Linked DNA regions of Drosophila melanogaster. The protein of the gene in region 1 purifies or fractionates together with the protein of each later gene. This does not show direct contact. Each region holds a gene or a part of one and is shown on either strand. Other genes may lie near its edges. The genes, in order: Exo84 and Sec3.

Region 1 (5,112 bases):
GTGTTTTACATATTTCTATAGTACCCAATAGTACAAATTTAGGAAAGTACTTCTTTTTATTCAGATAAACACAATTTTGCATTTATAGTTAAAGCTGAATATATGTATATACATATATATATAATTTCATGATTTGGAAATTCCTTTTTCTTATTTTATTGAAGACAGGCATGAAACGTACATATCTTTTAAAATACCGAATATTGTATAGCTCTAAAGTAACAAGTATTGCGAATTTGTTTGTAGCTAGGCTGTGCGATTGCAGCACTACCCAGTTCTTTCCATTATAGCTTGTAAATGCTAATTACTCATCGATTTTTCAAACACGCAGGGAACGAAAATCACAAGCATTCTCTTTAATATAACATTCGCTTCTGGGAGATACAAACGGGTGGTGGCTCTTACATAAAGTGGACAGGCAGTGGTTCTTAGTAGCGGCTCAATCCTTGCGCAGCTTATCCAGGCGCGCCTGAAGATCCGCATCGGCATCGGACATGGGCGATGAGGCACCACTGCCACCGGGAGCTCCCGGACCACCAGCGCCGCCACCACTAGCTCCACCTCCGCCGGCGGCTCCACCGCCGCCAACGCCACCAGCGGCCACAGCCTGTGCTTTCTGAGCGCCAGCGCCGCCGGCTATGGAAAGGGAACCGGAGGCGGAAGGAAGGTCTCCCAGCTGTTCGCCCAATTGCAGACCCAGTTCGTCCAGCACCTGGGACACAACAGCATCCGTCTCCTCCTCGTCGCCCTCGTCCTCCATGGCGTCATCGATGGCATCGTTGATCATCTCCTCCTTCATGTCCATCATTTCCGACTGTTTCTCGAAGTCCTGCAGGATCTTCTGGATTTGCGGGAGATTCAGCTGGCGGTTCATGTTCTGCATGGCCTTCGTGACACCTGGAAGATAAGCATAATTGCTTGATAAGCGGGTGAATCAGCCAAATAGCCAATGTTTACCTTTCATGGCCTGTGCCATTGTGTTCTGCGACTTGAGCGTCTGAATTTTGAGGGACACCGCCTGGATGTTTGCCTTCATCAGCATGAACTTCTTGGCATACCGCCGCGTGCGCACCAGATCCTTGGCCATGATCTTCACGGCATCCATTTGACCCTCCTTGGCCATCTTCTTGATATCCGCGATAATCTTCTTCTCCTGCTGCTCCATTTTCATCCGCTCGCGGTCCAGATCTCGCATCGCTTTGTTGAGCGCCCGCTGATTCTTACGCAGCATCTCATCGGGGCTGATCTTCTTGCCGAATAGCCAGTCCATGTTTAAGGATATCTTAACTGCAAGATTTAATTACGAAGAATGACGGAGTTTCCTAAAGATTACTCATCAACCAAAACAATAAGCGAAGGGTGTGCGCGATTCTAAGGTGGCCAAGACGTGTTGGCGCTTACATGCGAATAGTGCTAGTGGGAAGAAGAAGCTTTGCCGGTGCACTCTGAAAGAACTGTTCACACTTCAACTTAGTGAATTAGCAACAGGTGGAAAATAATTTTAATTTATTACAATACAACACACACACATTGTAATGAATAGTATACATATAGACATATGTCTTCTTGATTTTTAACGTAGATCTTTGACGTAGTCGTTTATATTTAAAAGTTCAGTTCGAATAAAAAGTATTCAGGGCTTCAACGCCTAATCATACCTAAGATGAAAATCCGAAATGTAAATGCGAATAAATTTGTTGATCTCTAAAAGGTCTTTGACGTAGCCGTTCAGTTCGAATAAAACTTTTCATAGGTTTTAAATCTTAATTAATCTCCTATTACTTAAAACTAAATAAAAATGTTCTAGATTTATAGATTTATCTAATACCAGGGAAAACTGCAGTGAAAACATGGCATTTTCTATAGCATCAGCAACCTTACAATCGACACCTCATGATGACGCTCGTTCGTTGTGAATGGCTCTGCGTCAGCTGCAGTTTACATTCCAATCAGAATCATGAAGGAGTTCGACGATTTTAATTTTAGCGTTGAGAAATGTAAGTATTCCTATGTCTATTTAGCATTAATCAGTCTACTAATAAGTACAACGTTCCCAGATACCAAGGACCTGACACGAGAATGTGTGGGTGGCAGCGATTTGCAGCAGCGAAAAAAGGAAATCGAGGCCTACAACGAAACGACGGCAGCAACGCTCAAGCAAACATGCAAAAAGAACTATATGGAGTTTATACAGACGGCCAAGGAGATATCACGTAGTTTACGCCCCCCAATATCAATATACATTTATGTTAATATTTTCGCATCGCAGATCTCGAGTCGGAAATGTATCAACTGTCGCACATTCTGATTGAGCAGCGCAATATTCTGGCCACCATGACGGATGGCAAGACTTCCAGTCACCTGAAGGCAGAGAGTTTGGAGGCGGAGAGCACTACGGCGACGGAGGATCTGGAGAATAGCCATGCCACGCGGGCGGTCAAGGAAATGGTCCAGGGCTTCAATGGCAATCTGGAAGGCAAGACCTTCCTCAACGAGGGAGCTCTAATCGAGTTGGACAGTAATGATTATCGACCCATTCAAAGGGTCTTCTTTTTCCTCTTCAACGATGTACTGATTGTCTGCAAAGTGAAGCATGATAAGTAGGTTTTCCTATACTAAAGCATATAGCAAAAACTAATAGTAATATTTTTCAGGCGCTTGGATTTCCTCACCGAGTACGACCCCAAGAAAATAGCCGTGATTAACATTAAGGACTTGGATGGCGTTAAGAATGCCATTAATATCATTACTCCAGATGGTTCCAAGATCTATCAAAGCATCACGGCTGCTGGGAAGACGGAGTGGATAGAGAAGCTCGAAGAGGCCTTCCGCTTTGACCAGCAAAAGAAACCAAAAAAGGGCCAGGCGCCACAGCCTCCAACTCGGGCCAAACAGCAGTCAAAAGCTTCGACTCCGGAGAAGGAAACCACACCCCAGAGTCCCGGACAGCCCAAATCCCTGGAGGATGAGACGCCCGAGTGGCTAAGCACGGCCAGTGAAGAGATTCAGACCCTGGTGGCCCAACGGCATTTCGAGGATGCCCAGGAGCTGATAAAGCGAACCCAGGACTTCTTGCGAAACGAGAACCGAAAGAAGTTGCCACTAGCGGACGCCATTGAAACCAAGGTGAAGCAGCAGGAGCTGAAGCTGATCAATGTGCTGCTCAAGGAGTTGTCCAACAGTCACAATCGCAATCTGCAGATCGCTCTGAGAGCAGCCAAGCGGCCTCTGAAGATTCTCGTAGAGATGGGTCGCTATCGGCAGGCGAGTGCCACTCTGCTGAAGGTCTGCGCCGTCAGTTTGCGGGTGGCGCAACGGGAGGCGCGCAGGAATAATGCGGATATATCGGAACTCTTCTTTTGTGACCTGACGCAGGTGGCCTGTGATTTTCTCACCGCCTTTGAGAAGCAACCGGCGTGCGTTAGCGGTAAGCTTCATTCCTATTTCTGTCTACATTTAAGTATTACTACTATCTAATTCTTGCAGCGCTCGTGGTTTGGTGCAATGCGGAGCTGCAATATTTTGCCAGCCAACTGATAAAGCATTACCTGACCAAGGGAACCTCCCTGGAGTCAGTGGCCAAATGTGTGGAGCGAGTGCGCAAGCCCTCGACAAAGCTCACAGAGATCGGGCTGGACATTAGTTATCATTTGGAAGGTCTGTTGCGCACTACACTCGAGTCGCTCATAGAGGAATCCAAGGAGCGACTGCTGGACTCCGTGGGTCGCACCGAGGAGAGCTGGCAGCCGTACAATTTGCAGACCAAGTCGAACCTGAAGCGTCTGCTCCTGGAGCTCGATGTCTTGGGTATCGATGTGCGAGCCCAGGCGACGGGCGACACATGGATTAATCTCACCCAGTCGACAGTGGTTTTCATCAGACACTTCCTGCAGCTCACCGAGTACTGCGGCTGTCTGGCCAAGTGCGAAACCCTGCTGCAGAGCCTGGAACTGCTTCTTAAGGAGCTGTTCATTGCCCAGCATTCGTTGAAACCGCCCAGCGACATGGCCGTGGATGTAAGTTAGAAAGCAGCTTAAATAAAACCGCTCTCTTCAAGAATGCCATTTTCAGCCCAACTTTGTAATGAAGAACAAGATTTTTCTGGTGGACAACCTGCTGCCCATCGCCATCGACAAGTTTCGACAGATTTCTGGACGCCAGTGCGAGGGATTGCGCGAGTTGCACACGAAAATGTCCCGCCAGCAAGGTGCTCCAGTGCCGCGCCAGCGCAGCGTCTACACCACAGATGTGTTTTAGATGCACGCCGTGGGATTTACTTTCGATTACATATAATTTTTTATTTTTTCGTTTTGCTTCAATTATTTATAATATAATTATATACATATATAACCACAATAATAATAATATTTGTAAAATTAAAAATCGAAGCGTGTGCTGCACTCTATCTCTTGCTTATTACAATTTCGCCGCTCGCATTATATATATAATTGTAAATATATATAAATCGATTCGTTTTCTGTTTTTCATATATATACTCTAAACACTAAACAATTTAGCTGTGTTCTACTTTTCGGTTTCGGTTGTTGATGCGGCTCTCTCTGTGTTGGGTTTAGCTGCTCAAAATATAGGATTTTACACTTGGTTCTGAAGAGTTGAGTTTGATTCACACAATTAATTCCTCGATTTTCTCATTACACATTTTCTCAAATTACATACAAGCAAAGCGGACTGCTCTGAGCTTCTAACTACTGACCCCCAATGCGAGTGAGTGTTTCGAAAGTGGTTTCCGTGTTTAATTTATAATGTAAAACTCTTAACTAAAATGCTTACTAAGTATATTCATTTATAATTATATATATATATATATATATATACCTTTTATGCAAATGTGTTTTGTGTTTTTCGTATGTTGTGTTTGTGTGTGTGTGGTGTGTGTTTGGAGGGACGTTGGGAGGTAAGGAAACTGACAACTTAAAATTACATTTGTTGTTGCATTCGCTGTCTGACTTTTCAGCTAAATTACAAAAACCGCTCACATAAAACAAACTAAAAGCACTCGCATCGTATTTGTATTTAACTCCTTTTGTTCAGCTGGTAATCATAATCTCAACGCTCCTGCAATTGCAATGACTGACTAATTCCACTTATCCT
Region 2 (5,790 bases), on another chromosome or scaffold:
AGAACTATCAGCTCCTGTGGAAGGAGGACTTTCTGAACCGAATGCGAGATTCCCCCTATTACATGATCTCCGCCAGTCGGGACGCAAAAAACCTTGATCACAAGGACTGGCGAGAAGTAATAATACTGGCTATTTTAAATTAGCTGCTTATAATCCTGCTTTTACACCCCCAGAAAGCCATGGAGCGCATGAAGCTCACAGCACAACCCGATTTTAACTACAAAGCCATGCCCCAAGAGCTAAACATCTCCAGTCGAAAACGTCGTGGAGCAGATGCAAGGCCGAATCTGCTGACCAAGAAGACAAACATCGAGGACAGACTGAAGGTTCTGGAGCAGAAAGAACTGAAATCAGGTGGCGGTGAGCAGGACGAGAACAAACAAGAGTCCGATTCCGAACAGGAGGAGGAGGAAGATCCGGAGGCGGCGTTGGATGATGAGATGGACGAGGACAACGACTACGGTGCAACGTACTTTGATAATGGAGAAGCCTTCAATGATGAGGACGACAACTTGGACGATGGTCCCGTTTACTGAGACAAATAAAACCATCGAACTGATTACTTTCGGATCTGTGATTTACTATGTCGCCACTTTAAGCTTATTTAACACAAATGTTGGATTAATTTACACGTAAGGGAACGCTGGCTTAGTCCAGGCTCTTGGGCGCGTAGTAGTTGAAGTGGATGATACCAGAAGATTTCACCTGCAAAGCGTATTTCAATAAGACCGATATGGGATGGAAGGAATATGGCAGCCACTTACGAATCCAATAGTGCCGGCCAGGACGAGAATGCCAGTGATGAGCGCGGCATTGTACTTGGCGTTCTTCTGGCTGTGCTGCTCCTTCCAGTCTCCAGCGGGCACGGGCAGATCGTTCATGGTGGAGTGGGGACCATGTCCACCGTGGTAAGCGGCACGCGACAAAGCGCCAGCTGAAATGAGAGAACAAGAAAGAATATTCAAGTGATTGGTTTTAAAAAGGGGGTAATCCCAACGAAATGCAACTTGGTTAATGATCTCATCCAAGTTTCTTCCGATATCTGTTTGGCTAATTCTGATAATATCCATGGCTATGCTGAAGATTGGTGGGTGAACCATTCCTTCGCAGTTCCTTGAAGTTTCTCCCTTTGCTTATCCACATTATGTAATTTTTAAGGTTAGCAGTTTTGCTGAAAAGAGGTGTTGGGCCACTCCAACTCACCGTTCTTGAGCAGAAGCCCCTGCTTGACAATGTGCTTAACCAACATGATTGCTCGAAAGTAGCTGGAAATGGGTAAATATGGGTTTATTTTCACTGCCAATACTTTTTCGCATTATAACTCACCCGAAGATTACCTTGTGTTGAACAGTGTGACCGTTGTGTTGTTATAGAATAATATCTACCCTACAGTTGGGATGAGATCACGAGCTGCATACTTGTTATTACCTACGATGCGATGAAACCTTCAATGTATCTATTATACTGAAATGTTTAAATAACAATATGATTTAATACATTTTAATTGGTTTCTGTAGTCTTAGCATATTTTTGCTATGTGACTTTTAACCACGTAAAGAACACTCACGCAATGCGCTCATCCCCAACCGATAGTCTGTAAACGCCTCTGCAGAAGCTCTGTTAAATCAGCTGTTGGTGCGGAGGCGTTCTCCAATTGCTAATTGCAAGTGCAAACAACTGGCCAGTTGTTGATTCTTGAAAGGACTTTATTCGAGACCAGTGCATCCCGAAGATATACCCAGCCATGCTGTCCATTGGCGCTATGGCCAACATCAAGCACACGCTGCAGAAGGAACTCTTCTTGGCCTCCGGAGAACGCCTCCTTTCTGTGGTGACGGTGGTCAAGAAGAAGGACAAGAAGCCGTGCTACCTTTGCGTTGTCACCACGGCGCCACCGGTACCCGTGGTCACTTTGTGCCTGATCAAACAGTCGGAGCAGCGCGAGGGCGAATACAAGCGCAAGCGGAGCTGGCAGCTGGACGAGATTAAGTGGGTTGACGGCCGGAACGAGCAGTTCGAGACGCACGAGTTCGATCTGCAGTTGGAAAAGCTGTACAAATGGTACGCCCTTAACCCTCACGAGCGCCAAAACTTTCTGGCCGTGCTCAATCGCCAAATCCAAAAAAGCGTGCGTGGCCAGCGGGCGGAATTCCGGAATGTGCCCGCAGCGTGGTTGTCGGAGAAGTCGCCGGAAAAGGTGGCATTGGGCAGAGCGGTTCAGAAGACGCAACACATGGACGACGAGGAGGACGAAGAGGAGGAGGCCCAGGAGTTTACCGCTCTGACGGACAAAGAGGCCAATGAGCTGGGCAAACTTTTCTCCGAGTGCGACTTCGCCATTAAAGATGCTGAGCAGTTCATAGAGCAGCTGTCGCGTGAGCTCCACGATTTGGATGGGGTTAGTAAATTGGGCTTGTCCACCGTGTATACATTACTCATAATTTCTTATCTCGCAGGCCAATATGCAAAGTGTACTTGCCTCGGAACAGAAGGTTCTGAAAATGATGGAACACATCGACAATGCTATCTCCGAGGCGGATAAGTTTGAAAACCGTCTTGATAGCTACGAGGACATTCTGGGGCATGTCAAGGAAACCATGGAGAAAATTGGAGGCAAAAATGCCATGATCGAAATTGCCAACAATAACAATATCAAGCTTATGAAGGAGCTCAACAAAGTCATAGTGCGTATTCTTAGTGTACTCAATTTTATACTGTTTAATAATTCTGCTACTTCTGCAGAGTCAACTGGATCTGCCGCACAGCCAGCAGCAGGCTCTGGATGAACCCGATTTAAAGACCGCCAATGGACGCAAAGCAGCCATTGCAGCTGCTCAGTGCCTGCAACAGGCAATGAACAGCGATATAGATCCTGCTCTGCTGCGTTTGGAGGCGGTGCAGGACCAACGCAAGCGCTTTGAAAAGTGGAAACAAAAATTCTCTGCCACGGTCAGTCGGTTTATGAACAACCTCTTCATCCACCTGGGCAATGAAATAGGAGACATGCAGGTGACTAGCACTGAACTTACGCTGCCTAACCATTCCAACGTCCATCGGGAACTGACGCCTTATACTGAGCTGATGCACTGGACAAAAGCCATGGATCGGAAGACCTACGATGGTCTAATGCGTGTGTACACAGCATCGCTGAGCAAGATCTATGACAGGGATGTGAGGAACTTCTTCAATTTGGTAAGACATGAACATGGAAATGTAATAGTTTGTAATCTAAGCTAATCTCGATCACTTCTGATTATTTTATAGGCTAAAATTCAGGTGACGGAAAAGCTTCGTAATTCTCGGGAGGATCTGGACATGTCTACGTCTTCAAGAAAGTCCGCAGTTTCCACAATACCTTATGGCACACTGGGAATCAACAGGGATCAGTGGGGTCCCGGTGTAGAGACAGCGGATCGAATGCGTTTTGATGCATTGTTGGAAAAGGTTCTAGCTGAGCTGGAACCCATCGCCCTGCAGGAACAGCTTTTCTGCATCAACTTTTTTCAGATGGACGTTATTAGTCCAACGACAAAGAACACACAGACTACGTTGGAGATGGAAAAGGCGGTGGATATGACACAGTCAATCATATCAGGAGCGGTTTCGCCATCAGGTGATGGTGTTCCGCAGAAGCGGATTGACCGTCAAATTAACGAAGATGTGCGTAAACTGATGATGGGCCTTTTCGGTTGCCTAGAACCAGAGCTAGTTAGCTTCATCCAGAGCTTTGAGCGTGTAGACAGCTTGTAAGTAAACAATATAGTAATGGAGTAAGGAGTAATTAACAAATTTGTTTTCGTAGCTACTCTCTGTACGTTTTTGTGCGACTTACGCAGCACGTCATGTCCGCCCAGGACACACATTCCTTTCTTAGCATGACCTTCGCTTCCGCCTTGGTGCAGGTGAAGCGGAGCTTCGACCGCTTTATGCAGAACCAACTACTGTCTATCCGGGAGGCAAAGCTGCACAAACGTTCTAAGGCCATTCTGCCGTATGTGGAAAACTTTGAAAACTTTGCCCAAACTGCAGAGGGCATATTTCGGAAATCGGATCGCCGAACGGACATGGAGAAGTGGTACTTGCAGCTGGTGAATGCCATATTTGAGGGCATCCAACTGCATTCGCAGGAGCACCCCAAGACACCAGTTCAGGTAGTGCGCATGGAGAACTACCACCACATGTACGCTTTGTTAGCCCAGCTCAAGGTTCCTGGTCTGGACGCCCTGAAAAAGGAGGCCAAGAAGTGTTATAACGATGCGCTAAAAGCGTATGTGACTCAGTACTTCGGCCGGCCGCTGGAGAAACTGAATGTAAGCCAAAGTCAATGACCTTCCAGAAGAAAAGATAAGTCGATCTTCATCTCATAAATTTCCGTTCTGCCTTTGCAGCAATTCTTCGAAGGCGTGCAACTTAAGGTGGCCCAGGGAGTCAAGGAAACGGAAATCAGCTACCAGATGGCATTCTCCAAGCAGGAACTCCGCAAGGTGATCGCTCAGTATCCTGCACGAGAGGTGAAGAAAGGACTGGAGAACCTATATAAGAAGGTGGAAAAGCACCTGAGCGAGGAGGAGAATCTGCTGCAAGTGGTATGGCATGCCATGCAGGAGGAGTTCATTGCCCAGTATAATTACCTGGAGGAGCGCATCCAAAAGTGCTACGCCGGCGCCATGATCAACCTGGAGTTCAACATTCAGGACATACTCGCCTTCTTCTCGGACATAGCGCGCTCCCACTGATCTAGGGATTGGAATCTGAAAGTCAGGGAGCGGTTCAACCGGGTTTTATTTTTAAGTGCAATAGTATTTAAAGCGCTGTTTCTGCTGATTGCAAAATATATGGCGCGTATATTTAAACAGATGTGGATCTGCGAATGTTCGAAACGTCCAAGAGAGAGGGATCGCGTAGTGAAAAATCAACGAGACTAGGCCTTAAAGGGAACTTTTCAACAGCTAGCCATTGAAGTTGATTATTGTATAAGTTCTAAGCTAAAATTACATAGCCAATACTCAACTTTTGTCCAAGAATGCGAGTAAACTAAATTTTATATATAAAAATGTAGAATTTCTAGAGATCTTACTTGATCTTTAGTACGTCAGCTTTTAAAAATCACAGATAGAAGTTTGACTTTTTGTATTTATACTTTTATAGTATAACTCTAATTTACTACCGTGCACATTCAAACAGCCTCCTAAGGTCAAAGAGAGCTCTTCAAGATCAAAAGAGATAGATCATAGCCTAAAGAGAGAGAGAGAGAGAGAGAGTGCTCGAAGAGTGAGCTTTCCGGGGTGGCTTTTCGTTCGCCAGCCGTTGGAGTTCGGGCTGGTGCTCCCAGTCAAGCCGCGCGACTCTTTCGCATCGGTTGTCGCCTGTCCGCGTGATTTACCCAACTGCAGTATAAGCATTTTATTTCGTGTATTTTAAATTGTTCTAGCCGTACGTGTTTCCGTGTGTGCTCATGTGCCGTGTTGATAACTCCGTGAAATGCAAATGGTAATTGCAAATGGCAAATGGCAAACGGAAAATGGAAGAAGCCGCAACGACTTGCGACTGAATGTGGTGCATATTTTATGAAGCTCCGACAGGGAGAACAAAAAGTTAGACTACCGCCGAACCGATCCGATCCGAACTGATCCTCCCTCCTGTCTGGGCTGTCCCATAAACATGGCCACCATAGCGACCCGTCCGACCAGTTTCGTGCTGTTGTGCGGTTGTCGCTCCTGACTCGGTTCTCCCTACCTTCCCGTGACCCCCATCCCCATCCCCGTCTACATTCCCATTCCCATCTCCTCC

What was found.
Region 2: the proteins of Exo84 (region 1) and Sec3 fractionate together in Drosophila melanogaster (co-fractionation; one study listed by BioGRID). This does not show direct contact.

Annotation. Positions count from the first base shown.
Region 1 is NT_033777.3:26,049,075-26,054,186, reverse strand, and holds Exo84 (exocyst 84), read left to right. Parts: upstream 1-1,929; 5' UTR 1,930-1,957; coding exon 1,958-1,997; intron 1,998-2,057; coding exon 2,058-2,216; intron 2,217-2,269; coding exon 2,270-2,600; intron 2,601-2,654; coding exon 2,655-3,427; intron 3,428-3,486; coding exon 3,487-4,016; intron 4,017-4,071; coding exon 4,072-4,257; 3' UTR 4,258-4,456; downstream 4,457-5,112. Other genes in the region: Vps2 (vacuolar protein sorting 2), read right to left, coding at 440-897, 958-1,270.
Region 2 is NT_037436.4:17,421,054-17,426,843, reverse strand, and holds Sec3 (secretory 3), read left to right. Parts: upstream 1-1,626; 5' UTR 1,627-1,744; coding exon 1,745-2,398; intron 2,399-2,456; coding exon 2,457-2,684; intron 2,685-2,742; coding exon 2,743-3,192; intron 3,193-3,264; coding exon 3,265-3,746; intron 3,747-3,802; coding exon 3,803-4,310; intron 4,311-4,388; coding exon 4,389-4,736; 3' UTR 4,737-5,057; downstream 5,058-5,790. Other genes in the region: Polr3G (RNA polymerase III subunit G), read left to right, coding at 1-116, 174-536; COX7B (cytochrome c oxidase subunit 7B), read right to left, coding at 649-705, 765-934, 1,204-1,249. UniProt on the Drosophila melanogaster protein: Component of the exocyst complex involved in the docking of exocytic vesicles with fusion sites on the plasma membrane.